Linked DNA regions of Nothobranchius furzeri. The protein of the gene in region 1 purifies or fractionates together with the protein of each later gene. This does not show direct contact. Links are inferred from orthologs where the notes say so. Each region holds a gene or a part of one and is shown in the gene's direction. Other genes may lie near its edges. The genes, in order: usp4 and edc3.

Evidence for each region.
Region 2: the proteins of usp4 (region 1) and edc3 purify together in Homo sapiens (co-immunoprecipitation; 3 studies listed by BioGRID and IntAct, with this or other methods). This does not show direct contact. The link is inferred for Nothobranchius furzeri from reciprocal best matches to the Homo sapiens genes USP4 and EDC3.

What each region holds. Positions count from the first base shown.
Region 1 is NC_091743.1:47,676,812-47,681,105, reverse strand, and holds the start of usp4 (ubiquitin carboxyl-terminal hydrolase 4), read left to right. Parts: upstream 1-1,372; 5' UTR 1,373-1,412; coding exon 1,413-1,564; intron 1,565-2,661; coding exon 2,662-2,789; intron 2,790-2,880; coding exon 2,881-3,011; intron 3,012-3,088; coding exon 3,089-3,215; intron 3,216-3,295; coding exon 3,296-3,441; intron 3,442-4,294.
Region 2 is NC_091744.1:58,994,161-58,998,601, reverse strand, and holds the start of edc3 (enhancer of mRNA-decapping protein 3), read left to right. Parts: upstream 1-1,398; 5' UTR 1,399-1,539; intron 1,540-1,731; 5' UTR 1,732-1,734; coding exon 1,735-1,898; intron 1,899-1,970; coding exon of another isoform or gene 1,971-1,987; coding exon 1,988-2,214; intron 2,215-2,307; coding exon 2,308-2,646; intron 2,647-2,730; coding exon 2,731-2,884; intron 2,885-4,294; coding exon 4,295-4,441. UniProt on the Homo sapiens protein: Binds single-stranded RNA. Involved in the process of mRNA degradation and in the positive regulation of mRNA decapping. May play a role in spermiogenesis and oogenesis.

The sequences.
Region 1 (4,294 bases):
ACAGCCTTCTTCAAGTACACCGACACGCACGACAGCCAGATGCCGTAAAGCAGCCTCCGCCTCCCAGACAAACAGAAGAAGACGCCGCATGGCTACATTGCAATTTCCCACGCGAGTTGTCTCCAATCCAAGTTTTGTCTGCCAAATAAATAAACAAAAACATAAACAGCGAATTTGGGAGGCGCTTCACAGCCCAACTTAATTAGTCCGACATGTAGTTGTATATTCACGCTTATGTGCTTAAAGGAAACTCCCGTTTATTGCAACCCGGCCTTAATTTCTAGCATGCAGTACGTTTGTTTACTCACGCTGACAACTTTGGTGCTACTTGGATTCCCCGGGGTATTTACCGTAGGTCCATCACCAAATCGCCGTCAGCGTATATCCATATAACGGGTGCGGACGGGCACCCATGGTGCAGCCTCGAAATAGGACATTATCTGCACCAAAACATCTTCATGTCGAAAGGTTTTGTTAGGAATCATTAACGTGATTCCCCTGTTCGTTTGGAGCGGGTCTGGTCTGGGATTTCTAGGCGTAAACAGACTAGCTGCGGCTAATCTAACCGGCGCTTTTAATGACGTCACTGCCGTGCGCCAGTCTGTTTTTATTAAGATTACCGGTAGATGTACCTTTGTCCTACTGTGGAGAAATTTGTTTTCTCCCTTTATTGACCAACAGAGTTGTTCAAAAGTACAGAACAAAACATATGGCATTACAGCTTATGACAAAAATGCACCTTAAACAGAGTTTAAGCAGCAAAACATCACTCTGCAAATAGTGTATATATAGTGAGACAATTCATGATTTAAAATGTTAACTTTCACCAGTTTTTGTATGCACGTTTTAAAAAATGCTGATACTTTAAAGGTTTAAGCACTTAATACACTTAATTCTTAACATTTAATTTTTGTAATATAATGTGAGGAATGTTATTTTTTGAATAAACTTGTTCGATAAATGGGTGTTTTTAAATAGTATCGAAATCGAGTATCGGTTTTTGTCCAAGTATCGAATCGAGTTTGAAATTTTAGTATCGTGACAATCCTAGTACATACTGTACATAGACTGTACATACTGACTGATGGTTGCTAAAGAGCTGTGTATAAGCTAAGCACATTTAAAGAGAGGTGAATGGAAGGACAATGTGATTAAAAAAAGTGTACAAGCCACACCCTGGAGAGGATTGTGAAACCAAAACCATTAAAAAATGTGTATGTACCCCAGCTTTCAGTCTTATTTGTGACAGAGAAGACACTTCTGGTTCTTTTTGCAAGTCACGTTTGTAGTTGTGGACCCCTAAAAGTAAAGCTCTAGAACCGCCTCTGCTAGAGGGGAATAGGGGATGAAAAGAACACAGCTCGTCCATGTGCTTAGTTTTAGCGCGTTCACGATACCGGCACACTGGCTGCATGATGGCTGAGGGAGGCGGACCCGATTCGGGTAGCGCGGCAGACTCCGACTCGGAGCCGGTAGCCGCACAAATACCTACCCCATCAACGGAAAATCAGAAACAAACTATTGGGTCACTATTGAAAACAACTTTAAAAAGAGGGGACGAATGGTAAGAATCAGCTAAGTTCAACCCTATCTGAGGCTCCTGCGTTAGCTTGCGAGAAACCGGAAGTGCTAACATGCTACAGCTAATAGGCGTATAAAGCAATGAAACAGAAAGCTGTATTGCTAAATAGCAAGCTAATGTAACATGGATTAGCACGCTAGCTGCTAACCAAAGCTCTTCACAATTTCTGTTACATGGAGTGTATCGTTAAGGAATCAGCTATTTTGGCTGGGAGCAGCAGACTAATCACGTAAATAACATGTTGTTGAGTAACACAAAGTTATCTCGTTTTGTAATACGTTATCGGAGCCAACCGATGTGCTAGCTAGAAGGCCCCGTAGTCAGATGATTCGAGTCCAGCCGGCTTGTTGCTCAATCAGGTTCGCTGATATGATATGGCATTTCTTTACTGTCACTCTTTTCACACCGTTTTAAATCTTTAAGAGCATCCAGGCCTGGTTATAACGTAGCTAGGGCATTGAAAAGAGCCCATATTTCACAAATTAAGTATTATCGTGGAAAAATCTATACGTGCCTATAATTAAAGTAAAATAAAAAAAATCAACAACTTCAGTTTAGATAATAAGCTGTGAGATCTAAACTAGGTAACATGTGTGTTCTCTTAGTTAATATAAGGGCATTAACATAGAAAATACAAACGGTTAACTCTTTAGCTCCACGTTTGTTCAGTCACTCAGTTATTAGTAGATGACCTTTCACGATGCTACACTTATCCTGGCTTTAATCAGACACAGTTTAATAAAACCTAACGTGTCAAAGGGAACACAAGACACGGACATACCTGGGACATTACTGAATGAATGAATGTTTGTTACTAGATATCTCTTGAAGCCAATTAACTAAAGGTGATTCTTTAGACGAGATTAAGTAAAACTGGCTTGCTGTTACTATAACTGCCAGGGAATTGTGGTGTTACATAATGTTTTGTGTCTGCAGGAGGCAGTGGTTCTTATCCTTTATCCTGTTCTATATTCATTATCTGATAACTATAGACATTGGTGGTTATTATTTAGGGTAATTCTTGAGGATCGTTGTGTTCATTGTTATTTACGTAATAACAATTCATTCATTTGTCCTAGGTATCTAATAGACAGCCGGTGGTTCAAACAATGGAAAAAGTATGTGGGGTTTGACAGCTGGGATATGTACAATGTTGGAGAACGTAGCCTCTATCCGGGACCAATTGATAACTCTGGACTATTCTCAGGTATTTTATCAAGAGTCCTGTCTTGTTTTATTTTTAATCTTTCCAGCAGCCCCCGTTAAAAGTTGGTGTATTATTTATTTTTGTCTCCTAGACCAGGACACTCAGGCCCTGAAAGAGCACCTTATAGATGAACTAGACTATGTCCTTGTACCCACGGAGGCATGGAACAAGCTTGTCAGCTGGTACAGCTGTCTCGAGGGCCAGAAACCAATCGTCAGGAAGGTAGTCCCATTGAAGAGTTGTCTTCCTCTTTCTGTTTCACCAAGCTTTGCAAGGCGTTGACTGTCTCTGGCCTCTAGGTGGTTGAACATGGCATGTTTGTGAAGCACTGTAAGGTGGAAGTCTATCTGCTGGAGCTCAACCTGTGTGAGAATGACAACATGGACAACGTCATCACGCGCCATTTTAGTAAAGCTGACACCATAGGTAAGAATTACTGTGTGATCTCAAAGTGAACTTAAAGCAGATGCTGACAGCCCTGGTTCATTATACGTGTTTGTTTCCAGATACAATAGAGAAGGAGATGCGGAAGTTGTTTAATATCCCTTCAGAAAAGGAGACTCGACTCTGGAACAAATACATGAGCAACACGTATGAGCAGCTGAATAAGCCAGACAGCACTGTACAGGATGCCGGACTCTTCCAGGGACAGGTAGTTTTAGTTATTCCAATGACCTTAAAGAACACTGATCCACTGAAACAGCACAACCTTTGTAGCATATTAGTACTGTCTGCATAAATTATTCATTCACAGACATAAAATCAGAAAAATGATGGAGCCTAATGCAAAGCAGCTCATTAGCCCTGCAGTGAGACGTGCATTATTGTTTATCTTGTTGAGGAGTAGCTTTGGTTGGGTTGTTAAACGTTTCCTGTGACTTTTTTTATACGTTTGGTAGAGGTAAACAAGAATTGTTTCACTTTTAACTTAAATAGATGCTGAACTTTAGCCTAGTGAACTAGACCAAATTCTTGCTTTGCAAAGATTGGTCTAGGAATGCTCCACTGGAACCTCAGCAGCTCCTACCAGGACTCTGGCTAGCCAATCACAGCTCTCTAGAGGGGGTTCAAGCACATAAAGAGCTGTGATTGGTCCATAATGGTGGGCCAATCATAGTGCTCTATCTGCTTAGTGAACAAATCACAGAGCTTTATCCGCTTTGTGGGCCAATCAGGGCACTCTATGTGCCTGGTGGGTGGGATGATGCAACAGAGTGAAACAAGAGTATGTCACATTCATTGTCCAGTGGAATGCGGAGATCATTTGAAAGACAACGGTAGAACCCGCCCCACAACCGAGAGCCGTCAATGGAGCGTGGCCAGACTAAATAATACATTTATTTAGTCTGGCTTGCCAGGCCAGCTGAACTTGGTAAAAAGAAAGGATCTCATCAGGTTGTTGCCCTTGGTTACCATAAGTCAAGGGTAGGTAACTCCGGTCCTCGAGGGCCACTATCCAGCATGTTTTGTTTTAGCAGCCTTCGAGGACCAGAGGTGCCATAAGT
Region 2 (4,441 bases), on another chromosome or scaffold:
TGGAGGACGCGCGCGCGCAAAAATATACTTGTTTTCAATTACATTTATTGGGCCCACTTACTTTTTCTTAGGCCCACCCACAAATGAGTTTCTACAATAATGGTGACATATGACAGACTTCTCTGAGCTCCGCAGCCATTACACTTTTCACCTCGCGCACCCCCTAGCGGCAGCTCGCGCACCCCCAGGGGTGCGTGCACCACACTTTGGAAATCCCTGCTCTAGATGAAGAACCTACAAATTCTGAAAAATCTCAAGCATTGTTTATGCAAGAAGCTGCTGTCACTCAGGATTTGGCACAGAAGCTGACTGACAGCATCAGTGAACTGCAGACAGCTTCAAAAAAAGAGGAAATGCTGCAAGTACTGATTATTTGCTAACTAATAACTGTTTCCATTAAATGTGTTTATGGAATGGTTGTAAACCTTATAAAATACTTGTACTTCAGTAAAACATGTCAAACAATAACAATGAATCCACAAACAAACAAACAAACAAACCTTCTAACACCACAACTAAATCATAAAATATTAAACTCACTGGAACCCTGCTGAAGGGAGTGTGGACACATAAGTGCCAACCACACCCACATGTTTTGGACATGCAACAGAATAAAACCATTTTAGGATCAAAAATCTATTGAAATGACAAAATTATTTGGATATAAAATACCCCAAAATGAGATGATTTTAATGTTTTGTAACTTAACTGAGAATGTGGTCAAGAGAAAGGACTATCTCTGTAAAATTTTGTTAATTGCTGGTAAAAAAACAATAACCAGAACCACCAACCCTGGAACAGTGAGAGGAGACAGTGAACAATATACGATGGAACGGATCACTTTTTAGTTGAGACTGAGGGGAGAACTCTTTTTTTTAATGGGGAAAAATGGACCTCCTATCTTCAAGGGACATAGGATGCTAAAGGTAAAAATATAACTGGTTATAGGATAGAATTGGCAAAGCCCCAAGCAACTGTTTTATATTCACCCATACATTTTATTGTCATTTTTTCAATTTTGCCCTATATGGTTCTCCTTCTTTTCTTTAGTTTGTTTTTCTACCAACACAGATTTTTGTTGTATATGTTGATTAAATAAGAAAGACAAATAAATAAAAAGTAAAAAAAAAAAAAAGAAAAGAAAAAAAAGAGGAAATGCTGCAAGTATTGATTATTTGCTAACTGATAACTATTTCCATTAAACGTGTGGAATGGAATGGTTGTAAACCTTATAAAATACTTGTACTTCAGTAAAACATGTAAAAAAATAACAAAGAATCCACAACAAACAAAAACTCACTCACTCACTCACTCACTCACTTTCAGTTAAAGACTTTTGACTAAACGTTTTTACCAGCCAGATATAAAAGTTCCGTCTTATTTTGAAAAGCTCAGTCTACCGGAAACAGGAAGGCGAATAGCAGTAGCTGTTCTAAAGCTAAAACGCTAACTTCTCCGAGAGCAATTTTCTTAGCTTTTACTACCCGCTGTTTCATTTTTATTATCAAGAGGGGTCTACTTTATCTTAATTCCCTAAAGGTACGGTGATAGTTGAAGGTATTTTACGTTTCAGCACGTAAATTGGCTCTGCGTAGCTTAATAACAGGCCGGAATAATAAGCAGTCGACACATTTCGTAGGCCTAAAAATGAACAATTAATATTTGTGGTTCTCTTAGGTCACAAGTTAACGTGCTGCTGTAACAAGTGTGACAACTTTTAACTTTTTGCAGATAATGGCTGCGGACTGGTTAGGTAGTTTAGTGTCCATTAATTGTGGCCCAACGCTTGGGGTGTATCAAGGAGAAGTATCATCAGTGGACCAGTCAAGCCAAACCATCTCTCTAAGGCAGCCTTTTCACAACGGAGTCAAATGTCCAGTTCCCGAGGTCACATTCAGGTAAACACGGGTCTTTTCCACTGTTAGTAACTTTGTGTGATTTGCAGTTTCTAGTAACTATTGATACAATAGTTTGATTGTTTTTCCAGTGCCATTGATATAAGGGAGCTAAAGATTTTAGACATCAGAAGTGGTAATGCAAGGAGAACCTCTACTACAGCTACAAACGTGCACAGTGTTCCGGTGGCAGTCCCAAAGGGTGACCCCAGAGCTGTTGAGAAATTAAACTCTCCCCAGCAATGCTCTAAAAGTTACGGAGAGCGTCATCTAGATGCTCTGGGCCAACCCAAAGGGTTTCGTCGAAGACATAACTCATGTAAGGGCCATTTGTTCGGCGATCAAATAACTAAACAAAAAATCAATTTCTGTGGCATGATACTAATGGTTGAAGTTTTTCTAATCTCACCAGGGTCATCTAGTAGTCGAGGACCAAACCAAGCAACACCTAAAAAGAATGGAGTGAAGAACGGTCAGATGAAGCACAGAGACGATGAGTGTTTTGGGGACGGCATGGAGGATGACCTGGACACGGATTTTGACTTCGAAGGGAATCTTGCCCTTTTTGACAAAGCAGCAGTTTTCTCAGAGATTGACACATCAGAGCGGCGTAACGGGGCACGGTCACGGGGCACTCCTCAAGACCAGACACCCTCACGGTACCGCCATGATGAGAACATATTGGAGGGCAAACCAGTCGTTTACAGACAGATTATTGTACCTCAGCCTGGGGCCAAAGAGTACTGTACTGGTATGTGCTTAACATTGTAAATGGTATTATATGATAGTGTTTGGGTTTAAACTGGTTGACACCTTTCTCTATTACTTTCTACAGATTCTGGACTTGTTGTACCAAGTATTTCCTATGAACTCCACAAGCGGCTGTTGTCTGCTGCTGAGCGTCACGGCCTCTCACTGGAGCGAAGACTTGAGATGACTGGAGTGTGTGCCAGTCAGATGGCACTTACACTGTTAGGAGGGCCCAACAGGTAAATGTGTAAAGATGAAGACTAACTTCTAAATCACCTTAGAAATAAGGAAAGTTTTGAGTCAATTTCAGCACTTAAATTATTCGAGTAACTTAAATGAGCTAATTACAGATACTTCATTGGTTGTCATGACTGTGGTTTCCTCTGTGTCGACATGTTTAATTGGGACTGACATGCTGAGGCAGCCCGAAAAGTGGCTTCACTTTTTAATAATGGAGAAAAGCAAAGATTTTTTTATGCATGACTAAGGCCGACTCTGGTATAAATGATGGATGAAACAGACCAAACGGTTTTGGATCAATCAATCAATCAATACTTTATTAATCCCAGAGGTAAATTAGAGTTTCAGTATGCACAATTCAGAGATCAGACATACAGGTTGGTAGGTCGGGTTTTCACAGCATCTGTCTGCATTCCTTCATGGGGGTTTTTAGTTGCTTGCAGTTCAAGGCTACCAGGGCGTCAGATTCGGATAACAAGAATTTGTTTGGGTCAGGCTGATATAATTTTCCTCTTTGCCTTCAGTCTTTTAAACTGATCATTCCAGTCCTTCAGTGAAGCCAATTTTGGGTTTTTAAGCTTGTCCATACCGTCTGGTAACTCTCCGAGATGACGTCCATTTTGCACACTAATACCGGTATCGCAGCTAGAACATTGTCCAGCTTATGATTCACCTCGAGTAACGTCCCAGTCTGAGAAGTCTCCACACGTACGGTGCTTTCCGTGGGTGCAGGTCACCCTCCAACCGCTCCCGTCTTCCCAAATTTCCAGAAAACCAGATATCCTCCCACTCCAATCAGGAGAAATCCAGTGATCATCAGGCCGAATATCCACACGTCTTCGATATCCTCAATCGACAGCTGGGAGAGGCATATGATCTTCCACTCCTTCCGGGAATCCAACATATATCCCACTGGGTGTGTCCCCTGTGGACATGTGGGAGCCCCCCTACTCCGTTCTCAATGTTGAAAAAATCTTATCGATCGCATTGAATGACCAATTTATCAAATCCATGGTTAGTTAACAGTTTTTCAGAAGAAATGCAGAGAAGCGCTCTGTGGGCAGACAGGACAAAGAGCCTTGGGGAAAAAAAGATAAGGGAGCAAAAGAGGGAAGCGTCTGTACTCCTCGAGTGCCTGAAGAATCAGACATAAAGAAGATCAAACATAAAAAAGCATCAAACTTTTGAGTAAAAGATTGGGAACAACCTGCGTGATGCATGTAGCTGCAGCACTAGTCGCTTGTGTACCCTTTTGTTTTTGTTTCCTCAGGTATGTTCTGAGGTGTAGTTTCCAATGTTTCCTCTTTTCGATGTTAATGCAGGTTATTTAAAGAATTTTCGTTAGACAATTGATCCTGTTAATTTCTCCAAATTTTCTTAACCTAATCTGTGTTTCATTTCAACTCTAGATTCACACCAAAAAATTTACATCAGCATCCCACTGTGGCGCTGATGTGTGGACCTCATGTTCAAGGCGCTCAGGGTATCAGCTGTGGTCGTCACCTGGCCAATCATGAAGTAGAGGTTATCTTGTTCCTGCCAAACTTTGTCAAGAT